Mus musculus: one gene and its partners. The protein of the gene in region 2 binds, or shares a complex with, the protein of the main gene of each other region. Links are inferred from orthologs where the notes say so. Each region holds a gene or a part of one and is shown on either strand. Other genes may lie near its edges.

Region 1 (6,151 bases), on a different chromosome or scaffold from region 2:
AACAGAAAATAATTTCTTCAATAGCAGTACTTCTGCTACTGAACAGAACAAAGCCTAAGGAGCCTCCTCCCTGCCACTCTCCTGAGTCATGGAACTTAGATCCTATCTCTGTCTCTTAGCTTACTTTCCTATATAGCCTTGGCTCATGGGTTTGGTGCCTGGGAGTGGGGCTTAATTTTATTCAGTAGCCTGGTGCCTCATTCATCGAGCAAATAGTGTCATTATAGTTTCTCTTGATCTACTGATTTAAACGCAGGTTTCTACCCATTTTCATGATAACAAAGACCAAAGAAAACATTAATTTAAAAAGACCATCATCCTCACCACAATTCGTGCCTTTCAACGAAACACTTTAGTGCTTCTAATCATAAACCCAATATTTCTTCATTTGTTCAAGCTTATTTGTGCAGAAGAGTCTCTTTGAGACTGTAACAACTGAGAAAATACAAAATACAGGACCTCAAAATGATGAGGCTATACCATACAGTCTTTCTGATAAAAACAGCAGCTGTGGATAGGAAGGTAATATTTACATTACACGACACACAAGACATCAAAAGGTGAATGTTCTTAACCTTTAGGTAGAGGAATGTCTAGATGTTGTAGCTATGCTACAAACACACTATTGCTAGGTGTACAAAAAACAGGAGGTACCAATGCCAAGTCCTAAAGGATAAGTAGGAATTCTATCCATACAGAACGAAAAGGGACAGGGGCCCACATACATACAGGCTCAAAGACATTTAAAACTAACAAACAAATGAATGATGACTTCAAGTCATTCCCGTAAAGGAAGCACGTAGAAAATGAACATAAATGATGTGGACCCTAAGAGACTCACGAAGCTAAATCATGAAAGGCCTTCTATGGATACAGCAAATCTCTGAAATTTTCAATCACTGACATAAACACACACACACAGACACACACACAAAGCTAAGATAGTACCAGATACATAACATGTTCAAAATCTAAAAGTTTTGTAAGGGGAAGTGTATTAGTCAGGGTTCTCTAGAGTCACAGAACTTATGGATAATTTCTAAATAGTAAAGGAATTTATTGATGACTTACAGTCGGCAGCCCAATTCCCAACAATGGTTCAGTCGCAGCTGTGAATGGAAGTCCAAGGATCTAGCAGTTACTCAGTCTCACGCAGCAAGCAGGCGAAGGAGCAAGAGCAAGAGCTAGACTCCCTTCTTCCAATGTCCTTATATTGTCTCCAGCAAAAGGTGTAGCCCAGATTAAAGGTGTGTTCCACCACACCTTTAATCCTAAAGGTGTGTTCCACCACACCTTTAATCCCAGATGAAAGGCATAGCCCAGATTAAAGGTGTGTTCCTTAACTCGGAGATTCAATCTTCTGGAATCCATAGCCACTATGGCTCAAGATCTTCAAACCAAGATCCAGATAAGGATCTCCAAGCCTCCAGATAAGGGTCACTGGTGAGCCTTCCAATTCCGGATTGTAGTTCATTCCAAATATTGTCAAGTTGACAACCAGGAATAGCCACTACAGGAAGGTAACTTTAGATTATCTTAGATCCGAAGAGGAGTCAAGTTATTTTGACATCACATAAAGAATATTCCTCTACCCCTTATTCTTGGGGCCACCAAGCTGTCTGTCATTATCTGCATCAAGGCAGCACTAGTAGATGCTGTGTGCCCAAGAGGTAACTGGACCCGAATGTAGCATAGGCCTTCATCTTCACTTCATACTTTGTGTCTGCACTCCACAAGTCAAATCTGGTCCCCAGCTTTGTCAACAAAATCTGCTAACTTGCACAGATTGGTTAGAAATGACCTTTCATATCATTAGAAGTTATGTTTGTATACTTTTTTCTTCTGAGCATATTCTGGTGTAAAGGAAATATTACCATGTAGCCTCTAGACACCAAGCTCGACCACCCATCACAGAAGCTCTGATCTAGAAAGAGCCTCCCCTTGTAAAGTGATTCAGAGCACCCACAGGATAAATTTTCAAGGAGGAAGTATTGAACTTTGCCTGGCTTAAGCCACTACTGAGTTAGGCTCAAAGATAGATTAAAAACAGTTAATTCTGGGTCTCGCTTACTAAGTTATCAATTCTTTAATCATTGAAGCTTTTCCTAAAAAAGGATGCCCCACACTTTCTTTCCTTTCTGTTCACTGGCATTTACTAACATGGCACGATAGGCAAAGGCTTGTTTGAATCCACTCCCCTGCCCATGTGTGCTATCTTTTTAAAAAAAACATTTTAAAAAATGTCTTCAAAGTTTGTGCTGAGGTAAGCATTCAACTGTCTTCTCCCATGTTTACTTGGGAGGTGTAAGAAAAAGTGTTAACAAGCCTGAGAGTTTTCTGAAATCCTTAGTGCTCCATCGGCCTCCCTTGCTCGTAATTGTAGGGAACCTCAAAGTTGGCTCAAGACACTCCAAGAGCGTGTTCTCTGCACAAAGGAGACTTATTTGCCCCAGAAGGACAAAGGGCAAGAAACAGGAGACAAAGACAGGACACTAGGATGAGGGAGAAGGGGAAGGGAACAAGGGAGAGGGTAAAGGGGTATTTGTCCCAAGGGAACAAAGGACTGTCTCTGGATAGAGAGAAGACATACATATAGGAAAATATTAGCGTAGCGGGTAGAGGGGTTAGGCTGAGGTATTTAATTTAAATTGGGCATGTCAATTAGTTGACCCCAGAGAGGTTTTGGATTGTTGGACTTCAATGCTTTGATAGCTGGATCTCTGCAGGTTAGATCAGGGAACAGATCTTGGGGGCTAGCTTGAGGAATGTGATCTAACGGTTTTTAACAAGACACGGGGACTTGGGAAGGAGAGCCTTGTCCACCACATTCAAGCTGGCTAGAGTTCCTGCAGTAATTTCAGACTTACAGAGAAAACAAGGGAAATCTGACAGAAAAACCCTCAAAGACATTAGTTCCAATCTGCTGTATTACCGATAATCACTTCTTTCTGGAACTGGTCTATTTCCAGACTGAGTCTGACTGGGCCAGTCATGAACAAGGTAGGACTCAACTAAAATAACCAGTCTAAACCCGGCTAGCCCACACCTTTAATCCCAGCACTCAGAAAGCAGAGGCAGGCAGAACTCTTTAAATTTGAGGTCAGCCTGCTCTAAGGAGTGAGTTCCAAGACAGTCAAGACTACACAGAGAACAGGAAAAATAAATAAACAAAAGGCAGTTTAAATACAGAGCACAATTAACAGAAAAGGTAGCTCATTTTCACATGTATGGATCTTTTTTGCCTTCATATACATATAGGGACAGTTCAAGTTGCTGGTGCAAGTGGCTATCAGCAAGCAGGTATCCAGTCCCCTGAATCTGATATTATAATTTGTTGTGATCCATCTTGTGGGTGCTTGGATCGAACCTAGATCCCTCTGAAAGAGTGCTTTTAACCACTGGGCAAACTCACCAACGGCTTGCCGGGGCTCAGTTACTGTTTCTATTAATACCTTTCCCCAAATTATTCTTCCGGGGGGCGGGGGGGCGAGTTAAGTGGCTACAATGTATCAAAAAAGTCTTGCATTTAGAGCAGGTCAAACAGCTGGCACAGTGCTGTTTGTACTGTAGGGCCTGCAGCTCGCTAGGGGCAGGAACTGCAAACCCATGTTTGGAAGTTGCAAATAGTAGAGGCTTTTAGAGTTAAGGTTAACTACGTATGCGACCTAAACACAGAAGATGCGAAACATGGATCACTAGGGCTAAACATGACAGGGGTTCAGTCAAGTCAATGAAAACGATCCATAAATGAAAATGTAATAGAATTGGCTACTGGGATAAGCTGGAATGAGGCAAACGCGTTACCAGAATTTATTAATGCCAGCCCCGGGACGCCGACTGGGGACGCGACCCAGGGTGCTCCCAGGAGAGGTGTTCACCGACAACCCAGACCAAGGCCCAGACACGCACGCCCCGCCGCCGGCGCTAGGCCCAGCCGGCTCACACGGCACCTCGCGGGCCGCCGGTGGAGACGGCGCAGCCACATGAGGAAAGCAAGGCCCACCGGGCAAGCGCCCACTCGCAAGTCCCTGCCCTCTCCACGCGACCTAGCAACCCGCCGCCCCCACTCTGGCTCCTAGTCTATCCCGAGTCTTCAGAGTTCCGTAATTACCTAAAGCTCCACCGCGCCGCCATCATACCGGAAGAGCGTCAGTTCCCTTTCCCGGGTGAAAGTAGCGCGAGAAATTAGTGAAAAACTGGTAGTGAATTGGCAGGTATGTGATACGATTAATGATAATGCGGTATAGTAACACCTTGAGTCAAAGCAATCCAGCTAGTAACACTGTCATTCCTTACAAAGAACACGAGAAAAGAACATGTGAGTCCGAGTGAACTACAAAGTCCAGCATGCTCTGGCAGCGCGGACGGAAATGAGTTGTAGTTGGACCGCAGTGCATGACGGGAATTGTAGTTCGTTCGGATAGGAGGTCACACTAGAGACACTTTTGAGAGCTAGGTTTTCGAGGCATGCTTCTTATTCTAACACTACTCATCTTCTAAAGCCATAAAAAGTAGCTCTTAGTAGACACCGTAGCTTTTCTTTCTTTTTTTTTTTTTTCAGTGTAAAAGCTTAACACTAAGATACATACTATGAAACTACCGCAGAGGCTTACTATATAATACCTTGCCTGAAAATAATAAAAAAAGTAGCGATCCCTTTCAGATTTTTGACAGAAGCTTTACCAAAAGTCTGTTTGGGAGAAGAGGGGAAAGTGACAAAATGTTTAGTATCTATTAAGTTCCAAGATTTTAAATTCAAGTGAATGGAAGACTATCTGATTATAAATGATATGTTGTAAGGACAGTGAGAAGTAAATTGGAGGCCCAACATGGTGGTGTCTGCCTTTACTCCAAATATTTTGGAGGCTGAGACTGGCACTGTGTGTTCCAAGACATCCAGAGCTACATAATGAGCCCCTGTCTTGAAAGAGAGAGAGAGAGAGAGAGAGAGAGAGAGAGAGAGAGAGAGGAAGGTGAAAAAAGAAAAGAAGCAAGTTGCCTGGCGTGGTGGCACATGCCTTTAATCCCAGCACTCTGGAGGCAGAGGCAGGTGGATTTCTGAGTTCGAGGCCAGCCTGGTCTACAAAGTGAGTTCCAGGACAGCCAGGGCTATACAGAGAAACCCTGTCTCCGAAAATAAATAAATTAATTAATTAATTAAAAAATTAAAAAAAAAAGAAGCAAGTTGTATTTATGATACTTTCAGGGTTGGAATGTGAAATCTGTAACGAGTTTAGAGCACTGGCCTCAATTATACTGTTTCCTTAGTCTTTGATTTTCAGTGTTACCAAAAGGTAAGTGTTAAAGAGCATGCTAATGTGATTGGAAAGCTCTTCCTAAAACAACATCATCTTTATATTTCAAAGTATTTTGTAAACCAGGCCTGGCTTCTCCAAGAATTTTGTTTATTTTTTAAACAGGGACAAGGTCTCACTATGTAGCCCTGGCTGGCCTGGAACTTACTATGTAGACCAGGCTGGTCTTGAACTCACAGAGATCTGCCTGGCTCTGCTTCCTAGGGGCTGGCATCAAATGCCTGGGGCAGTAAGCTCTGCTTCTTTATTATAATTTTAGGGTGATTGAGCTTTCAGCCTTTTCCTAGAGATAGTATGACTTTGTTAGCGTTTCTCCTGCTATAAAGTGACACCATGACTACAGCAATTGTTATATTCAAACAAACAAACAAATGAACAAACAAACAGCCAATCTAATTGGCTTACAACAGAGGTTTATTCCATTATTGTGATGGTGGAATTCATGGTGGGGAGTTTTATGGCATCTAAGTAGTAGGGGGGCTAGAGAAGGAGTTGAGAATTCTATATCTAGATCCACAGACAGCAGGAGAAGACGTTCAAACACTGGCCAGGCGTGGGCATCTGAGAAGCCCACCTCAGTGACACACTTCCTTCCACTGCACCAAGTCTACCTCAACAAAGCCACACCTCCTAATTCCTGTGAGTCTATGTGGGCCATTTTTATTCAAACCCCCACAGGGTGTAAACAAAATAAAAATCCTGGGCTAGGCACTTTAATCCCATAATTTAAGAGGCAGACCTGTGTTCAAGTGTTCAAGGCCAGCCTGATCTATATAGTCAGTTCTCAGCCAGCCAAGGCTACGTAGTGAGCTTTTAATACTAGTACTTGGGAAGCA
Region 2 (5,533 bases):
CAGTGAGCAAAAACACTGTGTCCTGAATTTAACTCTAGGTAGAGTACGTGATTAAGTTTCTGGATGGTACATCCCCCAAAATTATTAGGCTCAAGCCTCTAACATTGTACTTAAACATTTAAATGACTGATACCTGGGCGGGTGAGATGGTTCATTGGGTAAAAGTGCTTGCCTCCAAGCCTGACAACCTCCATTCAGTACTTGGGTCCCACGTGATGGAGGAGATGACCGTTCATTGTCTTCTGTACTGGCACATGCACTTAAACAGGTCCTGCTCTGTACTAGGCTCCTTGGCTTCCCCCAGATGGTTCCTAGGTATGAGACAAAGTCTTGTGCCTCCCTCTGCTCAGTCTCCAAAGCCACAGCCAGCCTCAGTAGGAACACCTCACCCTAAGAGAATTTCCTGTCCTCTGTCCTTTCTAGCTGCCCAGCCCTGAGAAGAGAGAGCCAATAACCCAGACAGAGGCAGGGGAAGGAAAGTCAGGTTCAAGAATAGGATAATGAAAATGGACACTTTGTACACGAATCTAAAACAACAAAAAGACTAACTGGGAGGAACCAAGTGACTCATGAGCTTAGCCCTGATCTTTGGTCCTCTTGGTGGCCTATTGACACTGAAAACACAAACACATTTACATAAAAGAAGGGGGAGACAGGCTTGCTAGGTCCTGGGAAGATTTGTGTTGTGTGGAGGGCCTTCGGTCTGACTGTAGCTTACCTCCCTCTGCACGATGCCTCTCCCCTTCCCAGGACCTTCGATGCCTTTTCCACCTTCTACCTGAATTCCAGTGGCCTCATCTGTCGCCATCACCTGGACAAGGTGAGTGTTGGGAGGGGTAAAGGGTAGAACATGTCTGTGTTCCTCCCCAGCCTCCATTAACCTGTCTCTGCAGCTGATGCCTTCACACTCACCGTCGACGCCTGTGAAAAAGCTGCTGGTGGGAGCCCTGGTGGCCCTGGGGCTGTCAGAACCAGAGCCCAGCTTACACCTGTGCTCCAAGGCCTGATGCAGACGTGGGTGAAAGGCTGCACTGAGGACTGCTACGCACAAAAGGAGGTGGGGGTGGACGAGAATGTCCAGAGCCAGCCGCCACCCTCCACTCTCCTTCCTTCTTTCCATCATGCTGGGTAAAGCTGCTGTGTAATTTAACTTGTAAATAATAAAGTTTAAGCAATGACATAAGGCAGGTTTTCACGTCACTTTCTCTGGGTTCCAGAGTTCCCATGCACTTCATTCCAAAAATAATTTTATTTACTAGATATTAAAGTATGGAAGGAAAAAAGAGCTGCAAGGTTTGGTCCATGTCACTCTCTAGCCCAGCTCTTCTCGTGTCTTGCCGACTTTTTTGGGCATTTTCTTAGCATGGGGATCTTCTAGCTCCTTGGCCTTATAGTAGTGGGGAGCCACTTCCAAAAGCCAGCTGCTTTCAATCTCCAGTACCTGTAAGAGGGAGCAGAAATCAATAGGGTTCCTTTACTTCCAAATCAGATTTTTTTTTTTTTTTTTTGGTTTTTCGAGACAGGGTTTCTCTGTGTAGCCCTGGCTGCCCTGGAACTCACTTTGTAGACCAGGCTGGCCTCGAACTCAGAAATCTGCCTGCCTCTGCCTCCCAAGTGCTGGGATTAAAGGCTTGTGCCACCACACCCGGCTCAAATCAGAATTTTAATTGTGTGGTCTAAAAAGGATCCTCTTCCCCACTGACTCAGGACAAGAAAAAGACACCCGGTCCAAAAACAAAAAAAAACAAAAAAACAACTCAGGAGGCAGAGGCAGGCGGATTTCTGAGTTCGAGGCCAGCCTGGTCTACACCTGGCTACTTCTCACTAGCAGGGCAGACTGACCCTGACATGCGCTTACGTGAGCCTGAGAAAGACCTGCAAGGAAGACAGGACAGACTTCAGCTGCTTAATGTGTGGTATGGCCCAGTACTTGGTGCACATTTTATTTATTCCAGAACCAAGGGCCTCATGCTTGCTATACAAACATTAATTTCCTCAGCTCTGCCTGTATTTTGTCCATATTTTTAAAATTTTTATGTACATTGGTGTTTTGCCTGCACATGTTTGTATACTACTTGTCAGATCCCTGGAACTGGAGTTCCAGGCAGATGAGCTACCATGTGGATGCTGGGAATTGAACCAGCATCCTGTAGAAGGGCCGCTGCTAGTGCTCTGAATGAGATGAGCTGAAGATCCATCTCTCCAGTTATGTTTTTTTTACTTTTGATATATGTGTCTATGCATGGATACCATGCCTGCAGAGGCCAGCAGAGGAAGTCAGGATCCCTGCAGCTGCACTATATGCACTTGTAAACTGCCTACCATGTGGGTGCTGGGAACCAAACCTGGGACCTCTGCAGGAACGGTGAGTGCTCTAAACCACTGAGCCATCTCTCCAGCCCACACTTTCATTTTGAGGAAGCGTCTATGTTGCCTCCATAGACCTTGAATAGATGACCCTCCTGCCTTACCTTCTTGAGTACCAGGGACTTCAGACTTACTCCATCAAGCCCAGCTTCAAATATTTACTGAGTTATAATTCTCAGATCTTGGAAGATTTCCTATATTTACTTGTAAAGGTGCTGAGGACTATACCACTGAGCTCCAACCCAAGCAAACATTAAACCTAATTTATATCTGATTACATTTGACCCTACTTTAAATTAATGGACCTTCATGTTTCCATGCCAGTCCCATCCACATGAATTGAATTTAAGATGCCAACATTTGTCCCCCATTTCCACACATCTGAGCAAGCAATAGTCCCTTACTTGTCTCATGAATTCCTTTGTGGTCAAGACAAGCTCATGGTAGAGCAACCAGCGTGGCTGTTGTTCAAAGAGAGAGGAGTTGGGATGAATAAACACTGTCTGCTGCTGCTTCACTGTGCGGTAGCCGCTCCGAGTCAGCCTCGCAGTGTGGTAAAAATAACCCGAAGTGATGGCCTAAGGAGCAGGCAAGAAAACCAGGTCAGGCACCACTAAAAAGGTGAGGACTCAGTGAAGGACCCACTTGATGTGCTATCTAGGGAAGAATGGGCTCCAATAAACAATACCCTGGAGAAACCGAAGGCCAGGAAGCTGCTGTGGCCCCTCAGTAGTGGATTCAAGAAACGCTAGTCTGAAGCCGCACACCTTTAATCCCAGCACTCTGGAGGCAGAGGCAGGTGGATTTCTGAGTTCGAGGCCAGCCTGGTCTACAGAGTGAGTTCCAGGACAGCCAGGGCTACACAGAGAAACCCTGTCTTGAAAAACCAAAAAAAAAAAAAAGAAGTGCTAATCTGGAGATGCAGTGATGTGAATGAATGAAGTATATTAACAGTTTCTTCTGAGTTTGAAACATACCACACTGCTCTTTAACCTGCTTCAGGAAGTCCCTCCTGCTAGAGAAAGCTATAAGTGTTGTGTCCCCCTCAGACAAATCAAACTGCAGAGTCTTTTTTTTTTTTTTTTTTTTTTTGGTTTCTCGAGACAGGGTTTCTCTGTGTAGCCCTGGCTGTCCTGGAATTCACTTTGTAGACCAGGCTGGCCTCGAACTCAAGAAATCCACCTGCCTCTGCCTTCTGAGTGCTGGGATTAAAGGCGTGCACCACCATGCCTGGCCAAACTGCAGAATCTTGAGATCTGACCAGCTGCTTGGAAGAAACAGAAACCAATGAAGTTAGCTAAAAGAGGTGTAGACCAACCAAGTCACTTGGAAAGGACACCTTCCAACGTGATGAGGAGCCTGAAGCTGTGCGATGTGATCCAGGGCGCTCAGCTTTTGTGAGCAGCCACCTATACTGGGATGGGCTTTGGTGATGCTATCGTTTAGACATTTCTGCAAGTAACCCAGTAATCCCCCACCCATATTGCTATAAGTAAACCAAATAAACTTATTGGTTCATCAAGTTAGACTTTGGTGGTATTCGTACTTTGGTCTGTCATGGGCTCCCTATCTGGGGTGAGAGATGTGTGTAGGCTCTCCTCAGGAAAAGTTTTGTCACACAACAAAGTGACTCCTGCAGGTTGTCCATTGACTTACACATGCACTTACACATACACATGAAAGAAAAAATGGGATGCCAGGTGGTGATGGCACACACCTTTAAACCCAAAACATGGGAAGCAGAGGCAGGTGGATCTCTGAGTTTAAGGTCAGTTTGGCCTTCAGAGTGAGTTCCAGGACAACCAGGGCTGCACAGACAAACCCTGACTTGAAAAAAAAAAAAGAAGAGCAAATAGGAGAAAAAAGAAAATAACAACATCAAAAACACTGACCTTTCTCACACGAACGTAGTCACCTTGGCAAGAAGTCAAGCCAACTTCCACACGCTCCAAGAGCCCCTCCAGTTGTTCCCGCACATCCCGGGCTCGGCGCATGGATCTGAACTGTACAAAGTTTTCATAGCACCATTGGGAAGAGTAGCCACTCTCAGCCCACTGTGAAGATGAAGTGCCTTAAGTACACAGCAGGACTCAAATCCCCCAGACTTCCCAAATTTCCACTTGCCCAGTGACCTGTGTGTACACATTTAGCAGAACCAGGTGGTCTCCACCAGGGAGGAAGAAGTTGACACGGGCATTGTCGGCATGGACAACCTTATCCTTGGGCCGGTAGAAGATGGAATTGTTGACAGACAGCATAGCAGCCACGGTCAGGATCTCTTCTGAACAGCTATACCTTGAGCGGGGTAGGAAGAGGATAAAGCCAAAGAGAAACCGCAAAAACCAACTGAGAGCAGACACAGATCCTGATCCCAAACACAGCAGGGGAACATCTTCTTCTTTTCTAAGACTTACTGTGTGTGTATAAAAGTTTTGCCTGCGTGTATGTCTATGTGCCACACGCCCAAGGAAGTGAGAACTGGAGTAACAGATGGTTGTGAGCCACCATGTGGCTGTTGGGAATTGAACTTGGATCCACTGCAAGAGCAACTAGTGTTTTTAACCACTGAGCCATCGCCCATCCCGGATGTTGTTTAAAGGCAGTCCCATACAGACCTAAGAATCAAGTTTTAGAAGCTGCAGCCTTCCCAGCACCCATCACACACACAAGGGCTTCTGCTTCCACCCATGCTCCTGGGTTTTACTTTATTAATTGGTTTGTTTTCTGAGGCAGGGTCTTACTATGTAGCCCTGGCTGGCCTAGACCTCAGGGATCTGCCTGCCTCTGCCTCTGTGCCTCTCTCTCTGCCTCTCTGCCTCTGCCATGACTGCTTGTCTCTGGGTTGTAGCTGCACTATCCATTGTGCCCACCAACAATCACTGTAAGGTACAGGACAGTGATTCACATGGGCCTCATAAGGGATGGTAAGACTTCTTAAACAATTTTTATTAAAACCAAACAAACAAAAACAGTAACAGCATGATAAAGAGTCAAGGAGAGAGAGAGGATACTTGAGACTGAGGAAGCATGGCCAGTTTGTGCCAGGAACTGGCTGGGTGGGAGGACTTACTTCTCGGAGGCCAAGATCATTTTAGACAACATGGGATCCACAGGCAGCTCTGCCATCTTTCGACCAGACTAAAAAGAAGAGGGAAAGGTGAGGCCG
Region 3 (6,191 bases), about 51 Mb from region 2:
TAGAGGACACATTCGGTTTCACTACTAAGTACGACAAGAGATTGACAGTGGTCACAGAAGCAGAGCAGATACACAGCCAGGTCAAATGAGCTTCCAATACTGAGAAGTTGTCCACGAAGAAGGACGGAATGAAAATGCTTAGGAAAATTGAAAATACGCACAAAAGATTGGTATACAGAAGTCTCTTGATGTCAGTATCTTTCATGATGTTTTCTTGGGTAGCTATCTAGTAGAAAACAAATTAAGAAAAACATGTAATGATTTTTTTTCCATTGTCCCAAGCACTTCAATACTCTAAATATAAACCATGTATTAATAATTTTCTATGGGCAACATATTTGTTTCAAAACACAGAACAAGCATATGCAGATTTTAATTGTTACTTTAGATTTCTCTAATATGGTATACATTATCTTTCAGAGCCTCAAAAAGAAAATTCCTGTAAAAATTTAAATATTTGTGACTGGTTTCTACAAAGGGGACATGTGCCAGACACCAGCAACTAATTTTACTTTTTTGGCGAAAATCACTGCAGTTCCCAAATGACAGCCAAGTATACACTTAGATATGCAAATGGTGGAGGACCATCTTAAGATGGTCATTATGCTACACTAAGGGCTCACACTGTCTGTACAGATGTTAAATAATGGTAATAGCAGAACGCGAGTGGGAGGAGAAACAATAGTTTCCAGTCTCTAAATACATATATTTGACCTAGAGAACAGTTTCTATGTTATACTGACTAAAGTTAATTAAGAACTTAAAAGTAACACATGTTACAATGTAGTAAAAATCGGGCCCAAAAAGTAACATCCACACCGCAGGGTGAGGAACTAGCAGGAAAGGTAAAAGCGCAAGTCTGGGCATGGTGCTATTAGCCCTCATTTCATTCACACTTATCGTTTTCAAAAGCAAATGATACTGATTAAGAAAACTGGATGAACAAGTTAGCAGATACGGCCAAGGTTACACACGCACAAGCCATTTCAAGCATCGCCTCTTTAAACAAGAAGAAATCCTCCAGGGTCGGGACAAGAACGCATAGCCGTGAAAAGACTTGGGGAAAGTTTCTCAGATTCTCCCTTCCACTGCGGGGTCAGGCAGGAAGCGCGATCAGAAATCCATCCTAGGCCACCGGCAAACACCCATCTAACACGGCGAGCGCGAGCGGTACCCAAACGCAAAGGTGACACCGGCGAGCGAGTCCCCGACCCAGGACACCACACCTGGGAAGCCGCCCTCGGGACTCGCGATCCCGTGAGAACGGGGTCGGAAGGCTTGGCTGCTCCCGAGCCCTCCTCCTGAGCAGCCTTTGCTCAGGTGCGGACCGCAGCTCCACCCCACCCAGGTGGCTCCGTCCCAGCCTCGGACGGCGCAGTGTGGGCAACTGGAGGTCGCCATCATAGAGAGAGCCCGTGCGGCCGACCCGGTGACCTGAGGTCGGAGTCCCCTGAGAGACTGTGATAGACGCCGGCATCTCAGAGGGTCGGTAGCGCAGGGCATCCTCTGGTCCGCCGGAAGCGTGGCGCCCTGGAAGTCACCGCAGCGGTCGGCGGTGCGACCTGCACCCGCCCCGGGCGAGTGTGAGAAGCAACCCGCCACCGGCTTACCTAACTCTCCCGCCCGCCGAAGGGAAGGGGGACACCACCGCCTCCCACCCTCAGGTGCTACAGGCTGGCATGGCCCCTGGCGCAGGCGCAGACCAGAAAGCGAGGGGGCGGGGGGAACTCACAAGCGCACAGCCAATCGTTGACGAGAAGGGGCGGGATAATGAGAGCAGCCCCGCCCATCAGCTCGCGTTTATCCCTCCCGCGACTTTCTAGGTACGGGATAGGCCGGAGCGGGAGGGCTGAGAGTCCGGAAGCGGGCTGACGTAGCCGGAAGAGGAAGTCGTCTCCGCTGGGGCGTTGTTGTGTTTGGGTTGCTGCTCCTGCTTTGCCGGCTGAGGGCACAGGGACACCCCCATGTAAGGATGGTGTGTGAAAAGTGTAAGTTCAGGGGCTGCTTCTGGGGGAGGTGGAGGGCTGAGAAGTTCTCTCGGGATTTCTCTGGTTTTCCCCTGCTGGTCTGTGGCGTAACCGGTGTCTTCCTACCCTGCCCCTCGGCCCTTCTTGCCTGTCCCGTAAGCATAGCCTTCCGCTCTGTGTTGAGAATGGCTTCAGTTCTGCGCCTCTTGTGTTTGTTTCTGTTGTCGTCCTCGCGCCCCTTCTGGGTCTCCTCCGTTACAACTTCTTGATTGGCTCTCGGAGGCTTAAATCGGATCTTCACGATCTTTCTGGTAGCATCAAGAGTTGACAGATGTCACAAGTATAAGTTCCAGGCTCTCGGTTACATCTTAAGATTATAAGCAATGGTTAATTTCCAGTATTATTAATATGTCCCGAATAATGTTTAAATCTTGACTTTCTGCTTTTCCTTACTACAAAACATGCCGCATTTAATACAGATTTTATTTATTTATTTATTTATTTTTGGTTTTTCGAGACAGGGTTTCTCTGTGTAGCCCTGGCTGTCCTGGAACTCACTCTGTAAACCAGGCTGGCCTCGAACTCAGAAATCCGCCTGCCTCTGCCTCCCCAGTGCTGGGATTAAAGGCGTGCACCACCACCGCCCGGCTAGATTTTATTTTAAAAATTACTTCAGTGGCTATCTGAAATTAAGTTAAATTGGATATTTTGAGCCATCCCGTCAATTCATTAATACTCACAGCTTTGGGTCAGGTGAAGGAGAGAGTCTCATCACCACCAAAGAAATCTTTAAGTAGTCACCCCTGGCTTTTAGAAAGGTCTTTTTAACCCTTTTAGTTACCATTCAGTAATTCCAATGAAACCCTTAAGATTTGTTGTAAATATTTAATTTTTTTTTTTTTGGTAGCTGCAAAAGCTGATGATTCGTTTAAAAACAACTTTCTTCTCTTGATCTCTTTCATGGGCTAGACAGCCTTCTCTGACAAGATTCAACCCACATCTCAGTTACTGGCGGATATACAGGACCCATTTTGTTCATAGCCCCTCAGTATGTAGAACTCTGGACACAGACACCCCTCCAGAGCTGTGCCATTCTTAAACGGTTTTTTATTCTTTTCGAAAGTGGGATAAATGGTTAATTAAATGTGGCTTAAATGTATTTAGATTGTGAAGCCGTCCTTTGTGCTGTGCCCTGAAAGGTCATTTCCTCTGCTCTTCTGAGAAATCTAAGGTCTTATTATCTGTAGCCTCTCAGTCTGTCTGCTCATTGCATGCACCCCGTAAGTAAACTGAGGTACTTGCATACAGAAGCTGTAATGTCAGCAGCCGCCTCAGTTCAGTCTTCCCTTGTATCACACATTATTCGAGAAAGTTACTTTTCTCCAATTTTTTAGAGTTACCTCTTAGAACTTGGCACGTACGTGTTCTCCAGTTGTGCATTTACTGAGTTCCAGGGAGTTTGGTTTCAGTGTGCTTTCTTTTCCTTGTTCTGTTAGGTGTTTGAGGACTGTTTGGCCTCAGCTGGCACATCCATACCACTGAGCATCCAGTGCTCTTCTCCACCCTGAACAGTGCCCTACTTAAACAGTACTAAGTAACTGTCCATTTGGAGCATATAAATACAATATATTTATCATTTTAAATTGCTTTGTTTTCATCAGAACCTTGCATGGTGCTTTGTACAGACTAGGTGATTAGAGAATGTGAGAGAGAGGAATGAATAAGTTTGTCAGAACTGCTTAAAGTATAATCAGTTAAAGCCTGTTACTAGAGCATCGTTTTGTCCTGTAAGTTTTATTTAGAACCAGTATCTGTTGCCCACTGTTACTATCTTAAGTTTTCATTCATTGGTTTCTACCCTGGCATTAGTAGGTTCCTCCTATAATCTGACTTCATATCGTTATGTACTTTAGGCGATACAATATATTTATCATTTTAAATTATTATTGTAAAGTTAGCAAAGAAATGGGTTTTGTTATTTTATTTCCACACAGTTTGCTTATTAGATGACAGCTGTTCTCTTTTGCTGTCTTGGCGACCACAGGTGAAAAGAAACTCGGCAGAGTTATCACTCCAGACACATGGAAAGATGGTGCCCGGAACACCACAGGTACTGTTTGCTGTTAGGAGACAGGAGCTGGGTCAAGCGCTGTGGCCCTGCTCTGGTGCGTCACATTTTGCACAGTGCAGTGTTAGATGCTGATTACCTTGCCCAGTAAACACCGAGGGCTCGGTTCTCCTGGGAGTGCACATCTTTCTTCATCATCTGAGTTACATGTACGGATTCCTCATATAGTCAAGAAGTAGTAAAATTATTATTTCAATGTATGTCTATTTGATTCAGATTGGTAAAGTCTGTGTTTACATTTCCTTCCCACATCTAAGTTTTACATTCTCAAACAAATTTAGACTGCCTTACTTTTTTTTTTTATTAAACGCATACAGCAAAGCCCAGTGCAGTGATGCATGCCTTTAATCCCAGTACTTGAGAGGCAGAGGCAAGCGGATTTCTGAGTTCGAGGCCAGCCTGGTCTATCTACAAAGTGAGTTCCAGGACAGCCAGGGCTATACAGAGAAGCCCTGTCTCGAAAAACAAAAACAAAACAAAACAAACAAACAAACAAAAAAAAACCAAAGTAGACAGATGTTACACATACAAAAAGAGTGTAGGCATTGTCAAAGCACTACTTTAAGACTGAACAATAAAGCAATTATACAGTGTTCATTAAAAACTGGGCTATTATATGAAGATTTTTAAAAATTACAATAAGGGTCTGTGATGGTTTGTATATTCTTGTACCAGGGAGGTGTGGCCTGGTTGGAGTAGGTGTGTCACTGTGGATGTGGCCTTAAGATCCTCACCCTAGTTGCCTGGAAGTCAGTCTTCCACTAGCAGCCTTTGGATGAAGAGGTAGGACTCTAAGCTCTGCCTGCACCAATACCTCCCTGGAAACTGCCATGCTCCCACCTTGATGATAATGGACTGAACCTCTGAACCTGTAAGCCAGCGCCAATTAAATGTTTGTTTTTTTTTTGTTTTGTTTTTTTGGTTTTTTTTTTGTAAGACTTGCCTTGGTCATGGTGTCTGTTCACAGCAGTAAAACCCTAACTAAGACAGAAGTTGGTACCAGGAGTGGGGTATTGCTGTGATAGGCCTGACCATGCTTTTATTTGAAAGAATGTGGATTTTTGGACTTTGGATTTGGAACTCAGTGGAATGCTTTAAATGGGGCTTAGTGGGTCATCCTAGTAGGAATCTGGAAGACTTTGTTGCTGGGAGTAACTGTGTTGACCTGGCCCAAGAGATTTCAAAGGAGAAGAATTTCAGTATGTGGCATAAAGACTGTTTTTGTGGTATTTTGGTGAAGAATGTGGCTACTTTTTGCCCTTGTCTGAAAAGTCTGCCTGAGGCTAAGGTGAAGAGACTCAGATTAATTGCATTGACAAAGGAAGTTCCAAAAAAGCCCAGCAGAGACTTTGTTCTCTGGTTAAGTCTCATAAAGAGAAGTTTGAACAAGCATAGCAAGCTTAGAAAGGAAAAATATAAAATATATGGTTCGAGTATTAAAGGCATACTAGGAAGTGAAATAGAGCAAAAACCTGTGTTCTAGGAAATAACAGATTAAGGGAGTGGGACCTTGGGGCAAGATCCTACCAGCTAAATTTAGATCCAGGCCTGGTGGTACATACCTTTAATCCCATGAGACAGGCATGCTGATCTCTGCGTTCAAGGTCAATCTACAGAGCAAGATCCAGGATAGCCAAGCTTAGGCAGTGAAGGATTTGGAAAACATAAAGCCAGTGATAATGTAATAGTACAAGCGGGTCATGTTCTAGTTCCTGCAAGCAACAGAACTTGGCAGCTTCAGCCATGTGGCTCTGGCTCTAGAGTTAAGAATGGAAGGAACTACTGGGACAATTGATGCTGGTTAGCTGGAGCTAAGAAATTAGCAGTGATTAAGAAGAGATCAGCATCACTGAGGTGAAATCTTGTGGGAAGTATTTTCTGGGAGCACAAAGAAGCTGTGTTCCAGAGATAGCCAAGGTTGTACCTCTTGCTGCAGCTGGACTTGGTATTGTGTAAGAATCACCCAGGTGGTACTGGTTTTGAAGGCATGAAAGTGTCATGAAGAACAGCTGAAGCTTGACACTGTGAGAGGCCATGGAAGGCCATTGGTGAAGGTGCAGCCTCAGTTGCAATTGATGGCCCAGGACTGAAGGGGT
Region 4 (6,280 bases), on a different chromosome or scaffold from region 2:
TCCTGCTTTACTGGAATTTAGGTTCTAAGGTTAGTCAGACCGTAATAGTATTAGTAACAGCCAAATCTGACTCAACAAAGTCACTTGCTGAGATAGTTCTAAGCACTTTACAAAGTGATGTAATTACCATGGTAACAATAAAAATAAATCACCCTTACTTTTTGCACAAGGGATGGAAGATAGGAGAGGAAAGATAATTTGCCCAACTGTGCATAGCTAAGGAGGGCAGAACTGGGGTTAGAACCAAGAGAGCCTCATAGAAAATAGATACTTAGTCTCAATACTTTGCCTCTGACCACAAAGAAAAAAAGTGCATGAGGTAATATAAACAAAGAGTAAACCCAACTAGAGTTCAGCATTATGGAAATATAGAACTGGGTGCCATAAAGACACTTTTGCAAGGGAGGAAGTGGGGACCAGTAGAGATGTCAGGGGAAACCTCACAGAGGAAGCAGCACTAAGCTATGCCCTGAAGAACCGAGTTACAGGTGTCTTGGAGGCAGAGGTGAAGAACACAGTCCCAAGTCTTTAAAAACAGATGAATGCATGCCTGAACTTAAGTTGAAAGCCAGCCTGGGCTGCACTGTAAGAGCTTGGCTCAAAACTCAAATGAAACAATGGAATCCTGCCTTGTTGAAAGAAACAGAAATGTCCAGTTGAGTGTATCTTGAGTGTGGTGTGCCTGTGACTAAAGGCAGGCAGGAGGCAGACTGTGTAAGTAAAAGCAAGAGGCTGTTTTATCCTAAGTGTCAAAACCACTACCTGGTAATCTGAAAAAATCACTCTGTTTGTGCAAAACTAGGAAAGTCCCTATGAAAGCAATTACAAATCAAGAGGAAATGACAGTGGCCTGAAGGAGTGTGGTGACAAGCAAAGGAACTTCAGGGTAATTTTCACAATACTGGACAAGAGTGGCAGGTGAACAGGATGTGACGAGGGAAGGAAGAGGGTCTCCATCTTTGGGTTTGAGTCACTAATGTGAAAGCGGTGTCCTTTGTGTGAGGCTCAGGGCAAAAATATGAAGCTTTCACCTTCTACTTGGGGAGCGGGCACATTCGGGAGGGAGTGGGTTCTTTTCTAATTCTCTTTCTTCATTTAAAAGTTCCAAAGGAAGGACAGAAAAGAACGGAAATGTTCAATTTTAGGAGACCCTTCCACTTGAGATAAACTGGAGAACAGAATCCTCTTTACCGAGCATCGGCCGTCCCCAAGATCTCAATGATGGGGCACAAGACAACGTTGGCGAAGCCATCTTAATCCCATCTCGTGCTCCTCCTGGCAGTTAGGCCCACTGCTCCATAAATTGTCACTATCGTAAACGCTCACAAGCATCTCCCCTCACGCTACAACGCTTAATGCATATAGCTATATATCTATATATTTATATATCTTAACAAGCAATGCGACTATAACCCTTGCCTTCAAGGCTAGTGGTTTCGCAGGAATGGTACCTTTGGAAAGCTCGTGGCTGCCCCCGTACTTATTTGCGCCTTCTTCATATCCACTTAAGTGACAACTCTAGTCCCTAGGCTGCGGGGTCTACTGAGGAGCAGGAGCCGTTGGGTCGGTCAGTTGGCAAGCTCTCCTCACATCTCTCTTGCGAGACGCGGACCGGCTCCTGGCGCCTCCGTCCTCGCAGAACCGCAGCGAACGAGTCTGGGAGGGGGTCGGGAAAGGAAAAGACGCAAGAGAGATTAAGTAATTGGTTCGCAAAGGAAAAAAGATGATATTTGGGGTCGACTATGAAGCACCGGTTTCAAACGCCCGCCCCCTAAGCTGCCTTGGCTCCGCCCCTAGGCAACGTCATTCCATCTTTTTCCCGTGTCTTTGCTGATTGGTCACTGCGTCAGCCTGTGAGAGACGGTTTAAAAAAAAAAAAAAAAAAAACACACACACAACTCCGGAATTGCTTCCGGGTGTGGAGTTCGCATCTTCTCCACAGCCATTGGAAGTGCGAAGGTTTTGCTTCCGGGTCTCAACCGAGCCCCTGGTGTAAAAACTGGAAGCTCTGCATTTTGTTTCCGGTCTTGGGCCTGGCGCCCCCGGCGCCGAGATTTCTGGGAGCTAAGGGTCGCATTGGTTCATGAGTGAGTTTCGGAAGGTGCTGCGTAGGACCCCCGCCAGAGTGAGCAGCCGGGCATGGTGGTTTGTGGTTCTTGTGTGGGTGGCACCGGGGAGCCGAGTCGCCGCCGCAGCCCGTGACGATCGTACAGGCCGCGGTGCAGGGATGGTGGTCCGGAGCTGAAGCCGAGCCCGGGGCGGTCACCGGTGCAGCGCCTCAGACACTGAGAAAAGCAAAGGAGGGTGGGATGGGGAGAAACTCCCACTTCACACACGATCTGTGTGAGCAGCTGCTTAAGCTAACGGAGATTTAGTAGCCCTGCAGTTAGGCTGCAATTCTTATTTGACAGCTAAAAATGGCAAAGGTTCTCTTGTAGCCTAGGCTAGCTTCGAACTCCCGATTCTTTTGCTTTCACCTCCCAAGCTCTGGAATCACAGGAGTACCCCCATCATACCCAGTTCAGGATGGGTTCTTGATACTTGGTTGGGTGGAGTTCCGATTTTCTGAGCATCGCGGAAGTTACAGCCTTGATAAATGTTGTGGTAACTGCTTTAGAAGAAAATTGAGTCAACAAGATTCTGGGGTAATGGTTGCCCATGTAAATGTCACTGGGGACTTTAAACAAATTTTAACATAATAAGTTTGACTGTGACTTTAAAAGAAATTTGTTTTTTATTGGGTTCTTTGCTGTAGTGTGAGGTTTCTGGTAGAACAGCAAATCTTGGCCGGACAGTTACATTGTGAGATCCTATAATTAAAAAAAAAAAAAAAAAAGAATAAATTTTTTTTAAAAAAGAATAAAATAAAATCTCAGAGAAGCTAGTGCTAGTGGGATAACATTTTTTTAAGTCATTTATTTTAAAAGCTACACTACACTGTTGTGCAAGATCTGACATCATGTATGGGAATCTCATAATACTATAGAAATGTCGGCATTCCACAAATGACAGAAACGAGCTAGAAGACTTGCCCAGGGCTACCCAGCCAGAACAGAAGCACTAACTCAGATCTTCATAGTAGTTATTTATACTGAATAAGAGTTGCCTAGTAAACACCCTGAGTTTCATAATTCGGATTTTTAGGAACTTGTGTTGAAGCAAACTAAGCAATTTTGGGGAGTTTGAGAAGGATTTAAGAATAGATATTTTTGAGTTATCTGTAAAATGAAAGTATAACTTAAATTCACTTTTGCCGAAGACTAAAAGATGACAACAGCAGCCAGGCCAACTTTTGAACCTGCAAGAGGTGGGAGAGGAAAAGGAGAAGGGGATTTGAGCCAGCTCTCCAAGCAGTATTCAAGCAGAGATCTTCCCTCTCATACAAAGATAAAGTACAGGTAAGAAGGCCTTCATTTGTCTTGTTCACAGAATGGGACCAAGCCTCTCTCTATATATATGTATGTATATATATGACTTATGGTCATGTCTAAATTATAGTATTTAGGTTACTGATCTCCAAAGAGAAGTATTTCAAAAAAGTTTACAATAAAATTACGCCCTACAGGTAAAGTTGCTAGACAGTCTTCCAGCATAAGTTCCTTTGAACCAGGAATTGCTATGTGTAGATGAAGCACTCATTAGTCATGATAATCACATCAGAGAAGACGGAGCTGTAGTGAATATGGAAGTGTTGCTCTAACAGCCCTTGAATTGGTGGACTGTTTTAAAAAGCCGAAGACATGGGTTAGAGAGATTTCTCAGCAGTTAAGAGCACTGCTCTTCCAGAGGTCCAGAGTTCAATTCCTAGCAACCAGATGGTGGCTCACAACCATCGGAGGGGTCTGATGTCCTCTTCTGGTGTGTCTAAAGAGAGCAATGGTGTAGTCATATACATAAAATAAATAAATCTTTTTTTTTAAAAGCCAAAGACATTCTGTTGTAGGCAATTGTGTGCTTTAGTTTGTTGTTCTAGTGATAAGGAACACTACGAGTGTATTAACCCTCAGATTGGGATATTGTCTTATCTTCTTCCTTTTTGTTGTTGACAGACAGTTACATTCTGGATTGTCTTAAATTGTTGAAGCTATATAGGTTCTTTTCCTTGACAAGTGAGGCCAACATTTTTGACGTGTTTTGTTTTGTTTTTCCTACTTAAGACAAACCACACAGGATGCCCCTGAAGAGGTTCGAAACCGTGACTTCAGGAGAGAACTGGAAGAGAGAGAGAGAGCTGCTGCAAGGGACAAAAACAGGGACCGCCCAACTCGAGGTACCCGTACTGTCCGTCATGTCTGTCTCAGTTGTGTGCAGAAACTGTGTGTATCCTGGTAATTGGAAATAAGTAGCATTTTTGTGAGCTGTATCTCTTTGATGAATGATTAGAGATGAGAATGAGGTTTGTTCCAGTCCCATGCATTGATACTATCATGCATTGATACTAGGCCTTCTGTCTGGGACACCGAATGTAATTGAAGAGTTTTGAGAGAAGCATCAGTTATCCTTTTTGTGTTTCTACTACATGTGAGCATTGGGTAGGTCTCCTAAGATGCTGTGATCTGCATTCTCACTAATTCATTTCGTGTAAACCAACAAATATTTATCAAAGACTTACTTGCCAGTCACAGGGTGGATCCCGGGTGTCACTATGCTTTGTGTGGATTCTTTTTGCCCAAAGGTTTCTAAAATGGTTTTAAAAATTTAGTACTTGGGCTGGAGAGATGACTCAGTGGTTAAGAGCACCACCTCTTCCAGAGGTTCTGAGTTCAATTCCCAGCAACCACATGGTGGCTCACAACCATCTGTAATGGGGTCTGGTACCCTCTTCCAGTGTGTTAAAAGAGAGTAATGATGGTGTATTCATTAAATAAATAAGTAAATAAATAAATAAAAACCACTCTAGTACTTATTTCAATATGCTAAGTAAGTGTTTGTTTTCTTCAGAGCATACAACTTCCTCTTCAGTGTCAAAGAAGCCCCGCTTAGACCAGATTCCTGCTGCCAACCTTGATGCTGACGATCCTCTCACAGACGTATGTGTTTTAGTTTTGGGTTTGGGCTAGGTTTTGTTTGTTTGCTTGCTTGCTTGTTTTAAGCCCGCTTGGTGCTAGAACTGTGGGCCTCTGCCATTAGGCCCACCATATCATATTTTCCTAAAAAAACTTTAATACATTTTGGCTTTATGTTATGGAAATATATCACTGACCTCAACTTTAAAACAGGAAGTATTCTATGTCAAACACTGTTAGGACAGGTTTCATCTGGGGGGCTATGTGGAAGCAGTTTGTGAAAGCGGCTATGCCCACCCCTGACAGCATTATCAGTGGTGCGGGAGGTTAAGCTGCCTTGCTTTAACCACACGGAACACTGTCAGGATGAGTGCCCTCTGAACAGCACCATTGAGCATTGTACTTGATACTGCCCTTTATTTCCCTTTGATTTGATGCTCTGTTAGACACCTAGTGCTCATAGGCCCCTTAGTGATTAGAGAGGTAAGTAGTCTAAGCGGATAGAGCATAAACAGTCACTGGGACACAACTGCCTTTTCAGTTGTATGTAGCTCAGGCTGGTCTACTAATCACAGCCTTCCTGCCTCGTACCTCAACCTTCTGAGTAGTCGACTACACCTGACTTCCGACTGCAACTGAGCAGGCATGAGTGACCTTCCTTGAGTAGCATCTAATTGCGTATATGTGTCAACAGTTAGAACTGACTGATAGTTATTAAAATGAGAAGTCTTACAGTAAGTGAAATTCAGTTGTTCATTCCAAATATTTCTGTTGGAATCTTAGCACCCCTTTTTGCAGTTGCTCTTGCTAACTTAGTCATTTTGAGCTACATGAAACTACGTTAGCTCTTCAGGGTGAGACAGTGAACATAGTACCGTGTTTTATTGTGAAGTGTACTTGTTTTCCATTGGTACCATGTGAAAATCCTTTTTGACCATGTAAATACGAAAGGTACTTTATCAGGGGTTGACATTTTCGTAAGCATTCATAATTTGTTGTTGGGCTTTATTTATTATATTTCTAATGGTTATTGGTTTTAATTATGATATTTGAGTACTTTTCCCTTTAGGAAAATTTTTTTTCAAAGACGTCGTAAGTACAGTTTCTATGAGAAAGGTGAATAATGTATATTTTCTTTCTGATATCTCGGGTCACCTTGACTTGTCCCAGGAGGAAGATGAAGATTTTGAAGAGGAGAGCGATGACGATGATACTGCAGCTCTTCTCGCAGAGCTAGAAAAGATCAAGAAGGAAAGAGCTGAAGAGCAGGCCAG

What was found. Proteins that work in one complex are often made in the same cells at the same time.
Region 1: Dhx16 (region 2) and Cwc22 share a complex: the UniProt entries of both Homo sapiens proteins name them as parts of the minor spliceosome. The link is inferred for Mus musculus from reciprocal best matches to the Homo sapiens genes DHX16 and CWC22.
Region 3: Dhx16 (region 2) and Cript share a complex: the UniProt entries of both Homo sapiens proteins name them as parts of the minor spliceosome. The link is inferred for Mus musculus from reciprocal best matches to the Homo sapiens genes DHX16 and CRIPT.
Region 4: Dhx16 (region 2) and Cwc15 share a complex: the UniProt entries of both Homo sapiens proteins name them as parts of the minor spliceosome. The link is inferred for Mus musculus from reciprocal best matches to the Homo sapiens genes DHX16 and CWC15.

Annotation. Positions count from the first base shown.
Region 1 is NC_000068.7:77,942,039-77,948,189, forward strand, and holds the start of Cwc22 (pre-mRNA-splicing factor CWC22 homolog), read right to left. Parts: upstream 4,319-6,151; 5' UTR 4,112-4,318; intron 4,108-4,111; exon of another isoform or gene 1,072-4,107; intron 1-1,071. UniProt on the Homo sapiens protein: Required for pre-mRNA splicing as component of the spliceosome. As a component of the minor spliceosome, involved in the splicing of U12-type introns in pre-mRNAs. Promotes exon-junction complex (EJC) assembly.
Region 2 is NC_000083.6:35,888,327-35,893,859, reverse strand, and holds the end of Dhx16 (pre-mRNA-splicing factor ATP-dependent RNA helicase DHX16), read right to left. Parts: intron 5,506-5,533; coding exon 5,438-5,505; intron 4,663-5,437; coding exon 4,500-4,662; intron 4,422-4,499; coding exon 4,260-4,421; intron 2,946-4,259; coding exon 2,772-2,945; intron 1,442-2,771; coding exon 1,313-1,441; 3' UTR 1,190-1,312; downstream 1-1,189. Other genes in the region: 2310061I04Rik (uncharacterized protein C6orf136 homolog), read left to right, coding at 751-820, 894-1,007. UniProt on the Homo sapiens protein: Required for pre-mRNA splicing as a component of the spliceosome. Contributes to pre-mRNA splicing after spliceosome formation and prior to the first transesterification reaction.
Region 3 is NC_000083.6:87,023,688-87,029,878, forward strand, and holds the start of Cript (cysteine-rich PDZ-binding protein), read left to right. Parts: upstream 1-1,873; 5' UTR 1,874-1,972; coding exon 1,973-1,988; intron 1,989-4,011; coding exon 4,012-4,077; intron 4,078-6,191. Other genes in the region: Pigf (phosphatidylinositol-glycan biosynthesis class F protein), read right to left, coding at 1-205. UniProt on the Homo sapiens protein: As a component of the minor spliceosome, involved in the splicing of U12-type introns in pre-mRNAs. Involved in the cytoskeletal anchoring of DLG4 in excitatory synapses.
Region 4 is NC_000075.6:14,498,657-14,504,936, forward strand, and holds the start of Cwc15 (spliceosome-associated protein CWC15 homolog), read left to right. Parts: upstream 1-1,962; 5' UTR 1,963-2,125; intron 2,126-3,259; 5' UTR 3,260-3,267; coding exon 3,268-3,398; intron 3,399-4,157; coding exon 4,158-4,270; intron 4,271-4,941; coding exon 4,942-5,030; intron 5,031-6,176; coding exon 6,177-6,280. UniProt on the Homo sapiens protein: Involved in pre-mRNA splicing as component of the spliceosome. Component of the PRP19-CDC5L complex that forms an integral part of the spliceosome and is required for activating pre-mRNA splicing.